6 linked regions of the Oryctolagus cuniculus genome follow. The protein of the gene in region 2 binds, or shares a complex with, the protein of the main gene of each other region. Links are inferred from orthologs where the notes say so. Each region holds a gene or a part of one and is shown on either strand. Other genes may lie near its edges. The genes, in order: GEMIN2, GEMIN5, SNRPD1, SNRPD2, GEMIN4 and STRAP.

Region 1 (4,242 bases), on a different chromosome or scaffold from region 2:
ACAGGCGTTAGGTTCAATGTTAGTGTTATAACTAGAATCCATGCCTTTGTAAGGTACATGTAAAACTAAGATGAAGAATAACTAAGATCTAAGACAAAAAGTACATTTTGCAGTTACACAAAAGTAGGCCTTTCACTGCACTATTTATGTCTTGGTTTAAAATGTAAGAAAAAAGATCACTATATTTTATTTAATAAGAGAAATCTGGAATGGTTTATAGTTGGGAGTTTCTAGGAAATTAAATGACATGATCTCTGGAGATATAATCTAGGCCTACATTTCTATAATAATAAAACTGAAACAAAAATATTCAGAATAAAGAGTTTTGGTATGGACAAAATGAACTCAAATAATTTGAAGACATGACTTTAAAAGAAGTCTACTTTTGTTTACCAAAAGAGTATATAGTCCATAATTGATCACATAGGACTGTTCTGAAATAAAACTCATTAGGGTCACTTTTTTAAAGTAAGATACATACTACATGTTCCACAAACTAAAAAACTTATGAAAAGGAATTATATGAACCCATTAGTGTCTGATGAGGAGTGGGTAGGCCTCACAGCTAAGATGCCTGTGTCTTACACTGGTGTGCCAGGGATTCACTCCCTGCTCTGGCTCCAAACTCAAGCTTCCTGCTAATGCAGACCTTGGGAGACAGTGGGGATAGCTCAAATAATTGGATTCTGGCCTCCAAGGTGGGAGACCAGCATTGTACTCCCAACTTCATTTCAGCCCAATCCTGGGCACTTGGAGAGTGAACCAGTAGATGGAAGTACTCCCTCCCTCTCTAACAATAGTAATAACAAATTAATATTTAAAATGTTCATAATTTTAAATATCAGATAAAGAAATTGCTTAGAATGTAGAAAGAAAAGGATATACCAGTATAAAAATTTAAAATGCCATTCTTTATTTGGTCTTCGGTTAAATATAATTTAGATATATCTAAATTAGATAGACTTTCCATGACTATTCCAACTAAAGTAATTCTCCCTTCTCTCCTCCCCAAGGTTTATTTATTTACTTGAAAATCAGAGTGACAGAAAAAGAGGGATAAACAGAGACAGAGAAGATAGAGAGATCCTCCATCTGCTGGTTCACTCCCCAAATGGCCCCAACAGCCAGGGCTCGGCTGGCCAAAGCCCAGAGACAGGAGCTTCTTCCAAGGCTCCCACATGGGAGACAGGGGACCCAGCGCCTGGGCCATCCTTTACTGTTCTCCCAGGTGCACCATCAGTGGGGCAACTGGGACCCAAACTGGTGCCCATATAGGATGCCAGCACTGCAGACAGTAGCCTAACCCTTTGCTCCACAGCACTGGCTCCTGGTTTATTTCTCAAAAGATGGCAACAGCTGGGGCTGGGTCAAAGTTAGGAACTCCATGCAGGTCTCCCATGTGGGTGGCAGGAACTCAAATACTTGGGCCATGATCTGCTGCTTCCCAAGTGTATTATTGGGAAGCTGGATCAAAAGCAGAGTAACCAGCACTATTATATGGGTGTCCCAAGCCGTAGCTCAACCTGCTGCACCACAATGCCCACCTGGGCTCTCTCTTTTATTATCATAGATGTTTATTTTCTTCACTGCAATATTCACAATACATAATTTTAATTTTTGTTTGTTTACTCCAACTTCTTCAGAAGAATGTAAGCTCTATCAGGGTAGGCATCTTTTATCCCTTCCTGTATTGTATTCCCAGAGCCTGGCACAACCTAGTCACAACAAAAACAACTAACTTTACTTTTCCTACTTGCTGAATAAATAAATAAAAGTGTCCATAAGTAGAAATGCACATAACTAGAAAAGCCTAAGAGATCAGCTTTCTATTCTTAGAAAAACAAAAACCAGCCAAATTCAGAACATGCAAACTACACTAAATAAACACCAGAGAAGTAATTATGAAAACGTAACTGGAAAAAGGTTCCTTAAAAATAAAAGTGCAAGTAGCCTATTTAAAGGCTCCTTAGGTATTGGGTCACGTCCCTAAAGTAAGATGAGCAAGTCTTCATATAAACTCCAGGTCACGAAAAGGTTCTTGCGAGGCGGCAGAGGCAAAGCGTGCAAGCCAATGCTTAACTCCAGAGGAAGCAGTCAGCTATCACGTACACCACAGTCGACACTCTCGGATATTATAAGAATGTGTGTGTCAGGGAAATCCCCATAAGATTATAAAACTCACAGAAACATTCACACTCTGCTTCCTTTTCAACTTCTTTGGGTCAATCTGAGCTACCACAACATCTGGACATTGAGCTGCTTCGATCCTACAAATAAGCAATAAATGCAAGAAATTTAATTACTATCGCGCTTTGTTCGCGTGCAGTAAAACAAGCGATCCACTTCCACAGTTCATTAGGAAATTAAAAATCCAGAATTCCAACTGGGGTACTAAACACGGGATGTCTGACATTATCTGGATTGAAAGCAAAGAAATCCAAGAACACACATCTCGGTATCCGTTATCAAGTTAAAAGGAAACTCGCCACTTGGGATGTAACCCAGAGATGCGGAGCATAAACTGGGACAACAGGGACGGGACTTTTTGGCACCACGGGCCCTGCCCAGCGGCAGGGGGAACGATGAGCCCACCCGTACGGGGCCAAAGCACTCACTGGACCCGCCTCAGGTACTCCTGCGGCGTCCTTGGGGGTACCGAGGGATCGAAACCCTCCGTCAAGTCGCAAGGCTCCACCGGCAACAGCCGGGGCATCAACTCTTCCACCGCCGACTCGGAAGAAGGTACCCACGCCATAGCTTTCAATCCAGCCGGTCCCTCCCTGCGCATGCGCCTAGTCTAGGTCATGGCGCAGGCGCACAAGTAGGTGTATTTTGGCGCGCTGCAGAGCCTGCGGCAGTTTAGAAAGCGTAAGTGCGCATGAGCAGAGGCACTACTTGCCTGGAGGTTAAGGCTTCAGTGGGAAAGTGAGCCGCAGGTTTGGTTCCTGGAAGTTGTCCTAAAGCGGTTTTCGGGTTTTCACATCGTGTTTTCTCGTTTAAGGCTGGAGTAAAGACTGAGGGTTATTAACTTCTATTCATCCCTATTAGTGTACGATCCTTAAACGCTTTAGGATCAAATCACGTATTTGCATAATTATCATTTTTGGAGCTCTAAATTCTTAAACCCCAGGAAAATCGTTTTATAAATTTCCTCATTTAATTCTCACAACAACCCTGTGAAGAAGCTAGTATTATTTCGGTTTCGAGGGGGAAGAAATCGACATAAAAAGTAGTTAAGTTCTACAACTGTGATTTTCTTCCAAGCAATTACAATCCTGATACCAAATGAATGAAAAATCTCTTTGCTTAAATACAAATAATCAAAGGATAAAACTAGCACCAGCATTCAGAAATTACCATTATTAATATTAGGTCAATCCTGTGAGGTGGTTGCTATTATTATTTTTATTTTATAGGTGTGCAAACAAGACAGAAATGAATTAAGTAACTTGTTCTGAGTCACAAAGTGCAAGAAACAATGGAAGTATTATATCTGATCTTTTGTAAACAGACTCTGAGGGAATACAATTGACCTTTATTTTTTAACGTGTATACTTTTAAGACTTTTTTTTTTTTTTTTTTTTTGGCACTGCCTTTAGCTTTCCAACCAGGATGTAACTCATTTAATTGAAGATAAAGGGAGAACAGTTCTTAAAAGAGCTAAGAAATTAGTAGTACTTACCAATTGTAGCTACACAGTTGCTGTCAAACTGGAAAGTTATTTGATCAAAAATTTTTCACTGGGGTGGGCATTGTGGTGCAGCTGTTAAGACGCCGCTTGGGTCATCTACATTTCATATCTGAGTGCCTGGTTGGAGTCCTGGCTACTCTGCTTTGGTTTGATTTCCTGCTAATGTGTACCTTGGGAGGGAGAAGGTTATGGTTTAAGTATTTGGATCCCTGCCATCCACGTGGGAGACCCAGAAGGAGTTCCGGGCTTCTTGGATCTGTCTTCAAGCAGGCCTGCCTGTTGGGGGCATTTGGAGAGTGAACCCATGGATGGAAGATCTCTCTCTCTCTCTTTTTCTATTCTCTCCGTTTTTCTCTCTATTCCCCTCTCTATGTTGCTCTGCCTTTCAGATGAATTAAAGATTCTTTTTTCACTGATTTTGGGAAAAACAGACTTAAAGAGAAGAGAAATGGAGACATCTAAGTGTTCCTGTCCCCCAATATTTGGGTGATAAGAAGAAATTTGAAAAAATAAGCAATGACTTCATTTTTGGATTTTCTTACAAATACTTT
Region 2 (3,500 bases):
TGGCTCTAAAAATTCTGAGTTCCATGCATATAAGGCATTTTCAAGAAAATGGATATTCTGAAAACTATGGGGGAAAATGGAGAATGCATATTCTGAAAAAACTACACATGGATTTCAAAATACTTGAAATTAACTTATGTTTCATTCTGTTTTCCCATGAACATTCTAAAGTACTCTTGTATATCTAAAGTTTATCCATAAAAATGCCTAAAAACACACAAAATTGGTGGATTGGGGGGGGTAGAGATGATTAGATCATGGTAACTTTCATTTTTTATTAAAAATATTAAATTCTTTGTTTTTCTCTTGAAATTGATTACAGTTAGAAGAAATGTCCATTTGAATGGTTGGAGCCTAATGTAAGGACTCCCTTAATGGCATGTCCCTCTTCTCATGTATTCTTATTGGAAACTTTTTTTGTAGCTGTGCTGGCACCCAAACAAGGAAGGTTGCTTAGCTTTTGGAACTGATGATGGAAAAGTGGGATTGTATGACACCTACTCCAGCAAGTAAGAAATGTGTGATTCTCTTCAGCCTGTTGACCAGAATATCAATGATGAAGATCAAAGTGGCATGAATGGCTTTTTTGGAATAAGATTCTGGCTCTGAAACTGAGGTTCAGAACTGAGAATTTTATTTTAAAAAGTTTTCAGGTGGTAGTATTTCAGCACATTTGATATTTGGTAACCACTGAAATAAACCATTATTTTGTTTTATGTGAGTTTTCAAGCATACATTAAAGTCGTAAAATTGGTAAAAGAATATCCATGTCCCTTCTATCTAGATTGATCAATTAACATATGGCCATACGTGTTTTATGTGATTTTATATGTGTTTTATCTGAAACATGTGAAGCAAGTTATAGTTCTCAGAATAAGGACATTCTATATAACTATAATATCCTAGTCACACAAGAAAATTAATAATTTCATAATATGATCTTATATATATAATGAGGTGCTTTTAAAAGTTCATAAAAATGCATATTATGAAAAAATTATGCATGGATTTCAGAAACTTTTTGTTCAAAACTTTTCTGTGAACTTTTCAAAATACCCTCAAGTTATAGCTCACTTTAGGTATCTTTTTTTTTTTTTAAAGGTTTATTTTCTTTATTTGAAAGAGTTACAGAGAAGTAGACAGAGAGAGAGAGAGAGGTCTTCTATGCGCTGGTTCACTCCCCAAATGACCTCAACGACCAAGTCTAGCCCAGGCCAAAACCAGAAGCTAGGAGCTTCTTCCGGGTCTCCCACGTGGGTGCAGGGGTCCAAGGACTTGGGCCATCCTCTGCTGCTTTCCCTGGCCATAGCAGAGAGCTGGATAGAACATGGAAGGGCCAGCACTGTGGCGAAGCAGGTAGAGCCTCCACCTGCACCACTGGTATCCCATATAGGCACCGGTTCAAGTCCTGGCTGTTCCACTTCCAGTCCAGCTCCCTGCTAATCTGCCTGGGAAGGCATCGGAGTATGGCCCAAGTGCTTGGGCCCTTGCACCCATGTGGGAGACTCGGAAGAAGCTCCTAGCTTTGGATCAGCCCAGCTCCAGCCACTGCAGCCCTTTGGGGAGCAAATCAGAGGATGGAAGACCGACCTCCCTCCTTCCCTCCCTCCCTCCCTCCCTCCCTCTCTCTCCCCCTCTCCCTCTCTCCCTCTCCCACTCCCTCTCCCTCTCCCTCCCTCTCTCTCCCTCCCTCCCCCTCCCTCCCCCTCCCCCCTCCCTCCTTCCCTCTATCTGTAACTTTGTCTTCAAATAAGTAAAAAAAAATTTAAAAAGTGGAGCATCTGGCACTCAAACCTGTGCCCATATGGGATGCTGATGCTTCAGGCCAGGGCTTTAACCCACTGAGCCACAGCACTGGCCCCACTTTAGGTATCTTATACATAGCTGTTCTAGAGGTTTGATGAAATTGCAGACCCGTGCAATTCAGTTTGGCAGCCAGTAGCAATATGTGGCTATTTGTACTTAGAATAGTTATAATTAAATAAAATTAGAGGGGCTAGTGTTGTGGTGGGTGCTGGCACTGCTGGCATCCCATACTGGAATGCTGGTTTAAATCCTGGCTGCTCTGCTTCCAGTCCACCTTCTTGCTAATGTACCTAGGAAGGCAGCAAAGGTGGCCCGAGGCTTGGACCCCTGCCACCCATATGGGAGACCGGGATGGAATTCTAGCTCCTAGCTTCTGCTTCACCCAATCTGGCTGTTGTGGCCATTTGGGAAGTGAACCAGCAAGCAAATGGAAGATCGGTCTTCTGTCTGTCCTCTCTATCTGCCTTTTAAATGAATAAATAAATAAATGTTTATTTTAAAAACCCTGCTTATTCTATTCCTTTTAGCCAAAGAAATTTTGGCTCATTATCTAGATTGTTCACTATAAATAAGTCAACAACTAGCTTGGTGATAGTTCTAGAATTCTAAAGTCATACAAGGGATATAATTTATATTAATAGTAATAACAGTGCAGCCCTTTGTTCCCCATGTCATTATCACCATAGTGACCTTAGAAAATATTCTTAAATGCAAGCCTTCTTTACGAGAGAATCAAAAACTACCAGTCTGTCCACCCTGAAATCTTTCAGTTTAAGATTGGGATGTTAGTCTCACTGGGTAAGTCTGAAAATGACTTCTGATCATCTCCATGAATATAAAATAAGGTGAATACATTTGGTTGATAATGATAAATGCTTAGCAATAACCCTAGTTCTGGGCTCAGTGGTATGCATCTTCTGAATTGACACATGGAAAAGACAGCCTATTTTTCTTTAGTTGTGATAACCTTTATGCTTCTGTAAAACTACAGTAATATTGGAGTACTTGACACTTAATTGAAGTGGGCTTTTCAGAATGAGAAATGAGGAAAATGATCCCAAACTGGCTGGATGGGTAGGAGTAGCATTTTTTTCTGGGTAAGATATCTTTAAGACTTCATCATTTTGGTAGCAGAAATCATTATGTAGTTTGTTGTAGTCAAATAGATAGATTAAGATATTGTTAAATTGTTTTTGTCTAATAGCAACTAATTATATAATAGGGACCTTTCAGAAAAATATGGTCTGTTTTACACTAAAAATTTTTTTTAAAAAATCTTTCTGTTTGTCCCCCACCCCATAGACCTCCACAGATTTCCAGCACATATCATAAGAAGACTGTGTACACGCTAGCCTGGGGGCCACCAGTACCCCCCATGTCACTTGGTAAGTGTTTGGGCCATTCTGTTAACAACTATGAGAGTATTCCCTTTTCTTTCTATTAAAGCTGAAAAGAATTCTAAATGCTCTAGTGCAGTGACTGCTTATGTAGTCTGCTGTGTCCTCTAGAGGTCTATAAAGTAGTAGTGGCAGGTCATAAATTGGCCTTGGTGGGAGAAGCCATTCCCCCATGACCCTCCCCAGTCTCAAAAGGAAGCACAGTTCTACTCTTGAAACTGAAATTCTTCATTGTACATAGAGTCAGCTCATTCTGGGTCCTGACCCCAGTCTACTGTTCTTCACTAAAACTTGTCA
Region 3 (2,348 bases), on a different chromosome or scaffold from region 2:
TCTTCCAGGCCAGCCCAATGCTATGGCCCGGGAGTGCAGTGGAGGATGGCCCAAGTGCTTGGGCCCTGCACCTGCATGGGAGACCAGGAGGAAGCACCTGGCTCCTGACTTTGGATTGGCACTGTGCACCGGCTGCAGCACATCGGCCGTAGCGGCCATTTGGGGGGTGAACCAACGGAAGGAAGACCTTTCTCTCTCTCTCTCTTTCTCTCACTAACTCTGCCGGGGGGGGGGGGGGGGGGGGAGTCTGTCTACTACCCAGAGCAACAAAATGGAAGGGGAGAAAAGGAGAAAAGATCGGAGGTGATGGCAAGAGAACCCTATGCCAAATCTTTAAGGAATTTCATAATATCAGGAATAGAGTCAATCTGTAAATCTTCTAAAGTGGCAAGAATGGGAACCAGGTCATGTACTAGAAAACAGGAAATAAAAATACCAATCTTTTTTACAGTAATATCAGGAGCTACAATAAACAGATGCACACATGACAAGAAAATTCTAAAAAACAACAAAACCTCCTGTGCTGTTGCCAAATATTTGTATTCTGAATAGAGTATAAGTACACCATTCACAAAAGCATATATAATCCCTCGAACTTACCAGCTTCCCTTTTCTTAGATTTCACCTTGGGTTCAACATCCACAAGTAGTGTATCCAGAGGTAAACTGTCCGGTAGAATAAAATAGCGAATGTTATTCCCTCGAATACTCAGTGTTTCCAGCTGTACAGGTTCTCTGTTCTTCAGGGTCATCTTCACGGCTTTAAGATGCGTATTCATGCTGACATCTACACCTGGAAGGGAAAAAGCAGGACAATTACTAGCGCGAAAAGGAAGGCAACCAATTAATCTATGAAGCCATGGTAAATACTATATTACAGATGAGAACCATTTGCTACAAAGGAAGTTTCCATAACACAAATTAGCACATATGCAATGGGTAAATGGAGGAGGAATGTCAGCCTAAGTCTGTATTCATTCCTTCCTAGAGGTTTTGCCAGTTACATTTGCAGAAGTGAATGAAGAAAGCCTGGTGGAAACCTGCCTGTTACACATGCTTTATGCCCACCAACCCAAGGATCCTCCTCCTATCTTAGGTTTGGCCAAGTATTTATGGCAAGATTCTTTAAAAAAAAAAAAAAAAAAAAGTGTCATATATTGTCCCCATAACTTCATTATATTGCATTCCACCATGTTATCCTCACTTTTAAAAAAAAATGTAAATTTATTTGTTTGAAAGGCACAGCAACAGAGACAGAGAGATTCTCCACCTGCAGTTTGATTCCCCAAACACCCAAAACAGCAGGGCAGGGCCAGGCCAAAGCTGGGGACCTGGAATTTCTAGGTCTCCCATGTGGGCAGCAGGTACTCAAACACTTGACGTATCATCTGCTGCCTCCCAGAATAAGCATCAGTAGGAAGCTAGATTGGACTAGGATTTGAATCAGTCCCAAGAGGTAGTTTAACCCACTGTGCCACAAAGTCTGCCCTACTATTCTCACTTTTCTTTTTTTAAAGATTTATTTATTTTACTTAAAGTCAGAGTTACACAGAGAGGAGAGGCAGAGAGAGAGAGAGAGAGCGCGCGCGAGCGAGCGCGGGTGAGAGAGAAATCTTCCTGTCGCTCCCCCTCTTCGTGGAGGAACGACACTAAACCCTGCCTAGGCTTCATATCCGAGTCACGGCACCATTATGTCGCTCCCCCTCTTCGTGGAGGAACGACACAAGACCCTGCGCTGTTCTTTCGTCTGCTCGGCCCTCCCCGGGTTTGCTGCTGGTTCTTCCCGGGTTGGCTACTATCCCTTCCACCTCCGTGGAAGGGCAGTTCCCCCTGGCCACATTCCCCACTTCCGCAGGGGAGCGGCACACCGCCGGCCGGCTCTTCTCGGGGGCTGCACAGGTGTTCCTTCAGCTAGATGTTCCCCTTAGATGTTCCCCATAGATGTTCCTGGTGCATGTTGTCTCTCTCCTCCTTTATAGTCCTTCCACCAATCCCAACTCTGCTACCCACACGCCGAGTACGCTGCTCTCCTCCAATCAGGAGCAGGTCCCACAGTTTATTGGTTGAACTGGAGGCAGCTGAGTAGAAGCTGTTTCCCTTCTCAGCGCCATATTGTGGGAAAGCAGATGCATAGAATAAGTCTTAATTCCAGTAACTTAGTCTAGTCCGAGTTGCTCCCAGTTGCTCCCCACACTTCCATCCGATGGTTCACTCCCCAATTGGCCGCAATGGCCAGAGCTGCGCCAATCCAAAGCCAGGAGCCAGGAGCCTCCTCGGGGTCTCCCATGCGGGTGCAGGGGCCCAAGGACTTGGGCCATCTTCTACTGCATCCCAGGTCACAGCAGAGAG
Region 4 (3,966 bases), on a different chromosome or scaffold from region 2:
GCCCCTCTTCCAGGCCAGCTCTCTGCTGTGGCCAGGGAGTGCAGTGGAGGATGGCCCAGGTGCTTGGGCCCTGCACCCCATGGGAGATCAGGAAAAGCACCTGGCTCCTGGCATCGGATCAGCAGCGCGCCGACCGCGGCGGCCATTGGAGGGTGAACCAACGGCAAAAGGAAGACCTTTCTCTCTGTCTCTCTCTCTCACTGTCCACTCTGCCTGTCAAAAAAAAAAAAAAAAAAAAAAAAAAGGCTAAGAAGCCCCCATCTTCCAACACATGTGATGTTTCAGTCACACCACACTCCTGCGGATCTGTGACCACCAGGGGGGCGGTCCCTGGAGGGAGGGCGCAGGAAGGAGATCGCCCGTCATCAGGTGCCTGTTTGAATGAACCCGCCCCACCTGCACACACTGCGCATTCAGTCGCGGGTGGGAGGGGCTGAGGGGGCAGGCAACAGCCCGCTGGCCGCAGTGTTCTCAGGCCAGGACCAGCAGAACCGGGCGGCAGGAGAGCGCCTGGAAGGTTCTCCTGCAGGACCGAGCCCTGCCAGGGGCACCTCTGCAAGGCTGTGGGCACCACAAAGGACGGCCAGGGGCACGGTGAGTGCGTGAGTGAGACACCACAGAACACACGGGGGCGGCGCTGTGGTTGGTGGGCTGACGCCCTGGCCTGCAGCGCCAGCATCCCACAAGGGTGCCGGTTCGAGGCCCGGCTGCTCCTCTTCGATCCAGCTCTCTGCTGTGGCCTGGGAAAGCAAAAGATGGCCCAAGTGCTTGGGCCCCTGCATCCACGTGGTAGACCAGGAGAAGCTCCTGGCTCCTGGTCAGCTCAGCTCAGTGAACCAGCGGATGGAAGACCTCTCTGTGTCTCTATCCATAACTCTACCTCTCAAAATAAATAAAATATTAAAAGCCTGCCTGCGTGCTACCCCCGGCTCTGGCCCCACTGTGGACATCCGGGGAGTGCCCAGCAGGTGGGAGCTCTCTCCGTCTCTCCGCTTCTCTTTCAATGAATGAACCAAAAGGTGTCCTGTGGCCAGGCACTTCATGCGTGTTAAGTCACCGCATCTCTGTATCCACCGCGACGACTGCCTGCCACTGTGCGGACAAGATAACGGCACGCGCTGAGGGTCGCCTGGCCGCTCAGAGGGACAGCACAGCAGGGGCCGGCTGGCGCCCACCGCAGGGCAGGGCGGGAGGCGCGGCCTCGGAGGAGCCCCGCCCGCAGGCCCCTCCCTCCCGGGCCAGGCCCCGCCCCCGGCCGCGCACCTGTCGAAGGCCTTCACGCGGCCCAGCAGCTTCTTGTTGTTGCGGCAGTTGATGAGCACCTGCGTGTTGTTCTTGACCGACTGCGTGAGCACGGAGAGCGGGCCCGTGTTGAACTCCTCCTCCTCCCGCTTCTGCAGCTCCTCGGGGGTCATCTCGCTCTTGGGCTTGTTGAGGAGGCTCCTGACGGGGGAGGAGGGACCCGCGGGTGAGGGGAGGAGCCGGGGCCGCCCCCCAGCCCTGCCGGCCTGGTCTCTAGGCATCAGCACCTGGAAGCCACCAGCCATCCCCAACCCCGCCCGCCCCGGCTCAGCTCCCGCTAGGCCCCCTCCCCAGCCTGCTGCACCCAGGGCACACCACTCCCTGGGGGGTAAGTCCGCCCTTCTCATTGGCCGGGCAGAAGCGGACGTCCACTCCTCTTTCGTCTCCCACGGCAACTCGGACAGCAGCCACTGTCAGGACTTGCTCTACGGCGCCCCCACCTTCCTCCCCCTGGCGTCTGACGCCCACTGCCCCACAATCGGACGCTTGTCCCTCGGCATCCACAGGGGGCTGGTCCCAGGATCCGCGTTGCCCGGGTCCCGGAAGCCTCAGCGGCTCGGATCCCTTAGGTGGGATGGCGGGGACGCACACACACACACCCTGCGCACACCTCCCGCTCGCTAAGTCATCTCCAGGTTACAGCGTAACGGGACCTGACTGTGCTGCGACCCCGTGGAGCCCGGGCAACAGTCACAGGAGAAAGGCCTGCCCGGCCACTCGGGGCTGGCCAGCCTCGGTGTTCAGAACAGCACTCGGGCGCCGGCTTAAAAACCAGCCTGCCGTAGTCCCGCTCGGCAGGGCCGAATCAATGCGTCTGCCGGCCGTACCCCTCCCCCCGGCCGGCTGCAGAATCCGACCTCCGTGCCAGGGCTACCTGCACCCAGGGGCAGCCTGGGGGCCGTGCGCAAGCCTAACTCACGGCAGCCTCTTCGGAACCCTCCCAGGGCCCCCGGCTGAGCCTGCAGCCCCAGCCGCGGCGTCGTTGCGAATCAGGCCGAGCAGCCACGGCCCCCGGCCCCAGCTCACGTTCCAAGCCCCTCGCCCCCAATCGCTATGCCTAAAAGCCCGCGCCCGCTCCCCGGCTTCTGTAACTCGAGAAGCCGCTTCTTAACCTTCACTCCAGCGAGCTGATGACGCGGAGGAGCCGCTGCCCGTTCTCTCACAGAGCTGGCGGCCCTCGCGGACTCAGGGTCCGCCAGAGGCCCCGGGGGCCGGTCCCACGCTCATTACAGAAAATTCGCCCGAGAGCTCTGCTCCGCCCCCGGCGCTGCCGCCCCCTTCCGCCGCTAATCGGCCGCATTCGCACCCACAACCTCACGCCCGCCGCTTAAGCCCAGCCCGGCCTCACATGGTGCCGGCCCCGCGTTCGGGTCACTCTCACTCCAACCTCCTCCGCGTTGCTTCTGCCTCTGCGGATGGAGCGCGAGAGGGGCGGGACTTCCGCTTCCGGCGGGCCACTTCCGTGGGCGCCTGCGCAAACCCACCCGGCGGGCTGGGGCGTGGCTTGTTGCCATAGCGACCCCCGCCGGCTGCGCAGCGAGGGGGCCGAAGCCGCGAGCGGCAGTTCGAGGCCTTTAAGGACCACAGCGGGCAGGTGTTCATCGGGATGGAGAGACCAAGACAGAGAGTCCGAGTCGCGCCGCTTCGTGGTAGAGGCGGGACAGGCTGCAGGAGGGAAACGGCCAGAGGTTTCTAAATGCCCGCCAGCCCCGTCTCCGGGGGCGCGGCCTCCACGAAGCCAATCCGGTCCCGGCTTCGGGGCCTGACGCCTCGCTGGATCTTCCCGTCCCGCGGAACCAATCCCTTTCCGCGGCCGGGCGCTGCCCATTGGCTTTACCCGCTCCGCCGGGGCGGGCCGCACGCCTTCGCGTCCCCTCTGGGGGTTGTGCAACCCCTCTGGGAGCCAATCGCGACACCCCGGGCCTCCGGGGAGGCTTGTCCTCGGGAGCTGCACCCGGCTCGCCGGGCCGGGGTGGTGCCCGGCGCTCTTGTCGCTCATTGGCTTTGTGATTCCATGGGGTGGGACTTGGCTGGGCCTGAACTCCATCCGCGGTCCCTGGCCGGTTTCAGGGCAAAGCTGCCATGCGTCCCGGGGGCCGCGGGCGGCCCCGGCCCCGGCTCGGGGAGCGCGGCCTGATGGAGCCGAGCTCGCCGCTCAAGCGCCGCCTGCTCCCGCGGGCGCAGCTGCTGCCCGTGCTGCTGCTGGCGCTGGCCGTGGGCTCGGCCCTCTACACGCTGTGGGGCAGCTGGCACCGCAGGACCGAGGAGCTGCCGCGGGTGAGGCTGGGCGCGGCGCGGGCACTGGAGGGCCCTCTCTCCCCGCTTCCTCTTTCCGAGTTTCGGTTTGACGTGGCGCTACCTGGGGCCCTGGCCGCAGGTGCCACCGGCTGCCTCCCCGGAGCGCAAGCCCCCTCCCAACGCGCCCCCTGGAAAGAAAGGCTCCGGAGTCGTCAGGATGAGGGTTTTGGGTTCCACGCCCGAAAGGCAACTCTTGGAAGCCTCCCTTCCCCTCGCTGGGCTTCGGTTTCCATGTCACGATCGAGGGGTAGGCTAAACCGGGTGGGCTTGGAGAGACTTTGATCCTGGAAGTCTCCCATGCCGCGGAGGCACCCGGGCTTTTGGGGGGAGGGAGCAGTGCGCTCATTCTTCTCTTCTTTAGACGCC
Region 5 (4,228 bases), on a different chromosome or scaffold from region 2:
ACGGGTCTTTATCAGGTCCGTTACTTCGGGCCCAGGAACTAAATTCAGACTGCAAACACTGCTCACTGTCCAGCACTGACTCCGCCCCTTCCCAGGACCCAGAGATGCAAGCCCTTGCACAGTCCCCCAAGCCCCAAGAGCACCTCTTCACCATTTCACAGGGCAGACGCCAGCAGAGAAGATGCTGAATGGGGAACACTGAATCACACAGCCCTGCAAGGGCGGCGGAAGGCCCAGGGAGGAGACTCCCCCGCGCCCTGGCTGGGAAGGCCCCCCGCGCCTAGGCAGACCCCCTCCTTCAGCGGAGGAGCTCAAGGATCTGCCTGGGGCAATGGCTCTTCTCTCCAGCCACAGCTCTCCCACAGCCCCAAAGTATGCTCCCTACTGAACACTCTGGCCAGCACCGGGCCAGGCTGAAGACAGCAGCTTCATCTGGGTCTCCTCCCACTGCTCTTCCCAGGCCATCAGTCCGGAGCTGGATTGAAAGTGGAGCAGCTGGGACATGAACTGGTGTGGCAGGCAGTGGCTCTGCCTGCTACGCCAAAATGCTGGCTCCTCACCTGTGACTCTTCTCGGCGCGCTGCGCCGATCCGAAGCCAGGAGCCAGGTGCTTCCTCCTGGTCTCCCATGCGGGTGCAGGGCCCAAGCACTTGGGCCATCCTCCGCTGCCCTCCTGGGCCACAGCAGAGAGCTGGACTGGAAGAGGAGCAACCAGGACAGAACTGGTGCCCCAACTGGACTAGAATCTGGGGTGCCGGCGCCACAGGCAGAGGATTAGCCTAGTGAGCCGCGGCGCCGGCCAACCTGTGACTCTTCTCAGTGTAATTTTATCGCACTATCAGCTCAGCAGAGCAGATGCGTGGTCCCCAACAGACACAGGAATGTCCAAGTGCTCCCTGAACAAGCCCCAGGAACAGTTAGCAACTGGGAAAAACCCAAGTGTTTTATCACTAATGGTTAACTGGTGCCCACTTCTGATGTTTGCTAAGTGCCCGCGCACACCAGGCACCGTGCTAGCTGGTACACATGGAAGGTCTCTTTTAATCTTCAAAATAACCTTCTGAGGACTATTCCTGTTTTAGAGGTTGATGTTCAGGTATTTTGCTCAGGGTGTCACCACCACAAAGCAGTGGCACTGTGACTTAATGGTTTGAGGCCCTCCCCACCATGCACCTGGGAAAGCAGCGGAAGATGGGCAAGTCCTTTGGCCCCTGCACTCACGTGGGAGACCTGGAAGAAGCTTCCGGCTTCAGCCTAGCTCAGCCCCAGCCATTGCCGCCATTTGGGGAGTGAATCAGTGAATGGACGATCTCTCTCTGTTTCTCCCTAACTCTGCCTTTCAAATAAATAATTTTTTTTTTTTTTGACAGGCAGAGTTAGACAGTGAGAGAGAGAGAGAAAAAGGTCTTCCTTTTTCCGTTGGTTCACCCCCAAAATGGCCGCTATGGCCGCCGTGCTGCGTCGATCTGAAGCCAGGAGCCAGGTGCTTCTCCTGGTCTCCCATGCGGGAGCAGGGCCCAAGGACCTGGGCCATCCTCCACTGCCTTCCCGGGCTACTGCAAAGAGCTGGACTGGAAGAGGGGCAACCAGGACAGAATCCGGCGCCCCAACCGGGACTAGAACCCAGGGTGCCGGCGCCACAGGCAGAGGATTAGCCTAGTGAGCCACGGCGCCAGCCTCAAATAAATAAATCTTAAAAAAAAAAAAAAAAAAATTCGCCACAGCTGCAGGGATGCCCCTTCCCAATCTGTCATTCCACCACCACGAGGAGCTGGCTGGGGGACAGACTCAAACCCTGCTCCACACCATACTACTATCAGCGTTTCTCAAGCTGCCTCCCGGGCTCAACCCGAGTTTAAGGGCATATCCCACAGGTGGGGACACTTGGCAGGAGCCACTGACTTCTATTAGGTCCTCCCTCCCTTTTTTCCAGACCTTGCCAGGATTCTCAACCAACAGGCAGGCAGGTTCAAAGAGCACCATATTCCAAGTGGGACACCCACGTCCCAGACCCAAGTGCCCGGGTTCGAATCCCGGCTCCGCTTCCTATCCGGCTTCCGGACCATGTACACCGGGGGAGGCAACAGGTGATGGCTCAAGCACTTGGGTGCCTGCACCCGAGTGGGAGACCTGGACTGAGTGCCAGGGCATCTGGGCACTGAGCCAGCGGATCCCAGATCAGAAGAAAGCAGGGCTTCCGCAGCCGCGCGCCTCCGCCCAGGCCCCGCGGCAGGGGCACTCCGCACCCGGCGATCCCAAAGTTTACTCCCGGCCACTCGGCGAGGGCGGCGCGGTGTCGTCACACCCACGTTATCCGGCAGGGAACGCCAGTGGGTGAGCAACTCGCTGAGCAACTCCGCGGACGCTCAGCTAGCGAGGCCGGCATGGCCCCCTGCACGTGCGCTAAGCCCGTCGCTCCCGGGACACCTCGCTTTACCGCCGCTCCGCTTCTCACGTACGACGCGGGACCGGAGGGCGCAGGAGGCCGGCTCAGGAGCGCTGCGCCCGGCCTCGCCGCCGCCCTCCCGCTCTAAGGACGCCCTGGATCCTCCTCAGCCCCTCCCGACCACGAGGGCCCCAGGAGCCCGAGCCCGAGCCCGCCGGGCGTGCGCGGCGGGAGGCGGCGCGTCGCGGGCCGGCCCGGGGCAGCGTAACCGGGGCACCCACCTAGGTCCATGGCGGCGAAGCGGGAGGTGGCGCGGGGGGCGCCAGGCCGCCCCTCCCCCTCGAAAGCCAGGAGCGCGGCGCAGGCGCCACCGCACAATGGGCGGCGCGGGGGGCGGCAGGCCCCGCCCACGGCCTCTGCCGCCGCTCTCGCGCCGTTCGCCGCCGACTCCCGCCGCTGCGCGCGCACGCGCGCTCCTCACCAGAGAGCTCGCGGCGCCTTGGCCGCCAAGCCCACAGCGCCCCCTCCCGGCCCGAGGCCTCCCTCCAGCCAGCAGGCAGGTTCCGGGGGTCTTCCTCTCCCGCCGCGTGCTCCGCCGGGCCACCCACCTGGCTTCCTAGGTCCCAGTCGGTGCTGTGCAGGAGCCCCCGGCCTCGTAGTCACCGTCCCGCAGGACAGGAGCGCGGGTATGTCCCGCACACAGTTCACCCATACTGATAAAAACATGCACCTGAGGCCGGCGCCTCGGCTCACTTGGCTAATCCTCCACCTGCGGCGCCGGTACCCCAGGTTCTAGTCCCCGTTGTTCCTCTTCCAGGCCAGCTCTCTGCTGTGGCCAGGGAGCGCAGTGGAGGATGGCCCAAGTGCTTGGGCCCTGCACCCCATGGGAGACCAGGAGAAGCACCTGGCTCCTGCCTTCGGATCAGCGCAGCGCCGGCCATAGCGGCCATTTGGGGTGAACCAACGGAAGGAAGACCTTTCTCTCTGTCTCTCCCTAACTCTGCCTGTCAAAAAACAAAACAAACAAACAAACAAAAAAACCATACACCTGAACAGACACAGTGCCGTCTCCCTTTCCTTTCTAGCCAAGACCTCGTTACTGGCCTCACGTGTTTCTAACTCTTCCCCCCGCAGCTCCTGCGCCGGCTAGGAAGGCCAGAGGGGCCGCGCCTCAGGCATGGCAATGTGCCAGGTAGAGTTCGAGTTGGCGTGCGCGGCCGTGAAGCAGCTGAAGAACCCCATGAGCGATCAGGAGAAGCTGCAGCTGTACAGCCTCTATAAACAGGCCACCCAGGGCGACTGCAACATCCCCGAGCCTCCTACGTCGGAAGTGAAAGCCACGGCCAAGTGGGAGGCGTGGAACAAGAATAAAGGCATGTCCAAGATGGATGCCATGAGGAACTACGTGGCCAAAGTGGAAGAGCTGAAGAAAACTGAGGCTGGCTAGGGAAGCGGCACGGCTCCCCTGGCAGGGAGTGTGCTTCTCCAGTGCCCTGGAGGGGGGCGGGGACGGCTGGGCATCAATAAACCCCTTAGACCACGTGCCTGCGACTGCTCGTGGAAGGGGGGCTTGGGGCCGAGAAGCCCACTCCCCTGGCTCTCCTCTCGGCATGGTTCTGAGTGCCCGTCCCAGCCTCCCATGCCCAGAACATGGGAGCTGTTTGTCAGGGCTGGGAGGAGACTCATGGCACACGCCTGTCCTGAGATCAGCAACTTGGTCTCTAGAGAGGCTGTGGCCCTAGACCCCTAATTTCTTCAACTGACCAATAACCCAACACTAAGGGAGGGGAACAGGGCTCTGTCTTCCAGGAGCTCCACGGAATACAGCCGGGGAAAGGCAAC
Region 6 (2,726 bases), on a different chromosome or scaffold from region 2:
AAATTTCAAAAATTCAGTACTTTTTTTTTTTTTGACAGGCAGAGTGGACAGTGAGAGAGAGACAGAGAGAAAGGTCTTCCTTTAGCCATTGGTTCACCCTCCAATGGCCGCCATGGCTGGCGTGCTGCGGCTGGCACACTGCGCTGGATCCAAAGGCAGGAGTCAGGTGCTTCTCCTGGTCTCCCATGGGGTGCAGGGCCCAAGCACTTGGGCCATCCTCCACTGCCTTCCTGGGCCACAGCAGAGAGCTGGCCTGGAAGAGGGGCAACCGGGAAAGAATCCGGCGCCCCGACCGGGACTAGAACCCAGTGTGCCGGCGCCGCGAGGTTGGAGGATTAGCCTATTGAGCCGTGGCGCCGGCCACTTAATTTCAAAATTAGGAAACAACGTTCACTACAGATTCTTCAAGCAAACTGCCTTTTGCTATGGTTACAATGTAGAAAAACGTTCAGGCTATTTCTAGATATATCTATCAGTTTTTCCCAAAGAAACAAACACTCTTTTGTTTTAGAGACATTTTATTTAGACAACTAAAAACAATTAGATGTTCTGAAGCAGGTACAATGAAAAGAAATCAAACCAGTTACTTTATCATGTATTCCCTCTTCTTTGCAAGTAAAGAAAAGGAAAAAAAAAAGCATTCTGCTGTAAGGGAAAGTCAGAAAAATAGGCCAATATATTTTTCTTTTCCATAATAACATAAACAGCTACAAGAAATCTAATTGTAATAAGAGAAATTGGATGTTGGCTTGCACATATTCATTAAAAAGACAACAGGCTGTTGTATTATAATAGCATAACTCCACCTGCCTTCGTCAGATACTCCTGAGTTTTCACTTACAGGTAACACCACGTTAGTAGTTCCGAAACTCAAGCTAATTCATATTCCCCATTATTTACTGCTGTGGTTGTCCTAAGCAGAGAGTAACTCTGGGAGGCTGACGCTATTCTCTGCTTGCTCATCTTAGTCCATAAACTGTATATTATCTGTGGCAAATGCTTCATGCTCAGGCCTTTACTTCAGGAGTTGAAGAATAGATGGAATCTGAATTCTCTGAAGCAATTTCTTCTACAATTAAAAAACATACATTAGTTTAACAAAGAAGCAACTATAAAATTCTATATAAAAAGTAAAGATCTTTTGAAGAAGAACTGTGGTGAGGGAGGAGAAAAAGTGAACAACTACACATGTCTTCAATGACTAAATTCATGCCATTGAAAAAACAAGGAAGAACACGTTCATGGTTACAATCGTAACTTAACTTCTACGGGTCACAGTTTCTGGACTAAATTTTCAACAACTCTAGCTATCCAATGAACACTGAATTAAAGTCATCTCTTTAAAAGATATGGCTCTTTCCTTTAGTGATTCAAACCTCAATATTTAATGCTATTCAAAATCAAAACATTAACCATCAAACATTAAGTTTTTTACAAAAAAATACTTAATAAAGAAAAATTCCTCGTAAATGCTAAATCTCTTCCCAAGTTCCCCCTTCAATCATCACACCCAGTTTGTCATGCCAGCAATCTCGAATCTTTCTTATCATACTTCCAATGTACATCTAATAAACTTACCAAGTTTTATCAATTCTAAAAGAAATGACTCTCCTTCATCTACCTTTTTCTGTTCTCAACGCTGTTCCCCAATTCTAAACCAAGGATTGTTCATCTAGAATGCAGTGACACCTATCTGGTCTATGTTTACTCTTGTTTCCACAATTTATTAACTATTATTATTCTTAAAATTCAAGGGTTTCTCATTGTACTTGGAATAAAACTCGAGTCTTAAAATAGCAAACGAGGCTCTGAATGATCTAGCTTCTCCAGCCACACTATGCCCTTGCTTTTTAACTGGAAACAATGAATTTCTTGTGGTTCCTCCTATGCTGTGCTCCTTTCTGCTTCTGAGCCTTTGTTTCTTTCATGCTGTTAACCTCCCTGCCCTGCTCATACTACCTATGTCACTCATTACCTTAGTCATTCTGCTAATCCTCAGGTCCAAGTTTAAATGTTACTTCTCCTAGAAGCTTTCTCTTACTGGCCTTAAAATTGTGGTCATGTGTCTAAATACTGTGCTAAAACAACATCTGTCTCCTAGGTTATACTCTATAACAATAACATGTCTACACTGTACCTCAGTGCCTACTACATAGTAAACACCTACTACATAAAGACTTAGTTTATAAAAAAGTACATGTAAATATGTAACTCTATAAACCTTCCATTATTAAATACTTCTATGTTCACATTTAGGATTCTTTTTCCAATGAGTATATAACAAATGAATGACTGAAAGCGGTCACTCTAATATTAGAGTTTACCTAGCTCCTCTTCTGCTGTCTCTGGGAAATTGATCTTCGGCTTGGCCAGCTCACCACTGTCTTCTTCTATGGAAAGATAAGCAATGATGATTGATTATGGCAATGATGGCTGATGATGTCAATATCTCAAGTAATTTTTAGTCCTTAATAAGTAAGAAGAGTAAGATAAGATTACAACAAGCAATGAGTTACAAAATACAATAGGAAAAATTCCTTTTTATATAACTGTGGTTCTATAATAGTATGTCTTTTCTCAAAAATTACTTTTAGGTTCTCACTGTAGCTACTCTGGGATCAGTAATCAAGATATCATGTCTACCTTTTTGGCAAGGATCAGTAATACTATTCAGAGATTAGATACATTTACCTGTAAATTTTTTATATTGTCCACAAGTAAATTTT

The links.
Region 1: GEMIN5 (region 2) and GEMIN2 share a complex: the UniProt entries of both Homo sapiens proteins name them as parts of the SMN-Sm complex. The link is inferred for Oryctolagus cuniculus from reciprocal best matches to the Homo sapiens genes GEMIN5 and GEMIN2.
Region 3: GEMIN5 (region 2) and SNRPD1 share a complex: the UniProt entries of both Homo sapiens proteins name them as parts of the SMN-Sm complex. The link is inferred for Oryctolagus cuniculus from reciprocal best matches to the Homo sapiens genes GEMIN5 and SNRPD1.
Region 4: GEMIN5 (region 2) and SNRPD2 share a complex: the UniProt entries of both Homo sapiens proteins name them as parts of the SMN-Sm complex. The link is inferred for Oryctolagus cuniculus from reciprocal best matches to the Homo sapiens genes GEMIN5 and SNRPD2.
Region 5: GEMIN5 (region 2) and GEMIN4 share a complex: the UniProt entries of both Homo sapiens proteins name them as parts of the SMN-Sm complex. The link is inferred for Oryctolagus cuniculus from reciprocal best matches to the Homo sapiens genes GEMIN5 and GEMIN4.
Region 6: GEMIN5 (region 2) and STRAP share a complex: the UniProt entries of both Homo sapiens proteins name them as parts of the SMN-Sm complex. The link is inferred for Oryctolagus cuniculus from reciprocal best matches to the Homo sapiens genes GEMIN5 and STRAP.

The regions. Positions count from the first base shown.
Region 1 is NC_091443.1:36,529,034-36,533,275, forward strand, and holds the start of GEMIN2 (gem-associated protein 2), read right to left. Parts: upstream 2,801-4,242; 5' UTR 2,789-2,800; coding exon 2,616-2,788; intron 2,268-2,615; coding exon 2,183-2,267; intron 1-2,182. UniProt on the Homo sapiens protein: The SMN complex catalyzes the assembly of small nuclear ribonucleoproteins (snRNPs), the building blocks of the spliceosome, and thereby plays an important role in the splicing of cellular pre-mRNAs.
Region 2 is NC_091437.1:41,797,243-41,800,742, reverse strand, and holds part of GEMIN5 (gem-associated protein 5), read left to right. Parts: intron 1-423; coding exon 424-509; intron 510-3,108; coding exon 3,109-3,191; intron 3,192-3,500. UniProt on the Homo sapiens protein: The SMN complex catalyzes the assembly of small nuclear ribonucleoproteins (snRNPs), the building blocks of the spliceosome, and thereby plays an important role in the splicing of cellular pre-mRNAs.
Region 3 is NC_091441.1:56,025,113-56,027,460, forward strand, and holds part of SNRPD1 (small nuclear ribonucleoprotein Sm D1), read right to left. Parts: intron 793-2,348; coding exon 601-792; intron 1-600. UniProt on the Homo sapiens protein: Plays a role in pre-mRNA splicing as a core component of the spliceosomal U1, U2, U4 and U5 small nuclear ribonucleoproteins (snRNPs), the building blocks of the spliceosome.
Region 4 is NC_091449.1:11,275,662-11,279,627, reverse strand, and holds the start of SNRPD2 (small nuclear ribonucleoprotein Sm D2), read right to left. Parts: upstream 2,801-3,966; 5' UTR 2,653-2,800; coding exon 2,651-2,652; exon of another isoform or gene 2,415-2,650; intron 1,444-2,414; coding exon 1,264-1,443; intron 1-1,263. Other genes in the region: QPCTL (glutaminyl-peptide cyclotransferase-like protein), read left to right, coding at 3,385-3,579, 3,962-3,966. UniProt on the Homo sapiens protein: Plays a role in pre-mRNA splicing as a core component of the spliceosomal U1, U2, U4 and U5 small nuclear ribonucleoproteins (snRNPs), the building blocks of the spliceosome.
Region 5 is NC_091448.1:46,442,130-46,446,357, reverse strand, and holds the start of GEMIN4 (gem-associated protein 4), read right to left. Parts: upstream 2,801-4,228; 5' UTR 2,678-2,800; coding exon 2,668-2,677; intron 1,707-2,667; exon of another isoform or gene 561-1,706; intron 1-560. Other genes in the region: diazepam-binding inhibitor-like 5, read left to right, coding at 3,564-3,833. UniProt on the Homo sapiens protein: The SMN complex catalyzes the assembly of small nuclear ribonucleoproteins (snRNPs), the building blocks of the spliceosome, and thereby plays an important role in the splicing of cellular pre-mRNAs.
Region 6 is NC_091440.1:113,735,126-113,737,851, reverse strand, and holds the end of STRAP (serine-threonine kinase receptor-associated protein), read right to left. Parts: intron 2,391-2,726; coding exon 2,325-2,390; intron 1,070-2,324; coding exon 1,008-1,069; 3' UTR 501-1,007; downstream 1-500. UniProt on the Homo sapiens protein: The SMN complex catalyzes the assembly of small nuclear ribonucleoproteins (snRNPs), the building blocks of the spliceosome, and thereby plays an important role in the splicing of cellular pre-mRNAs.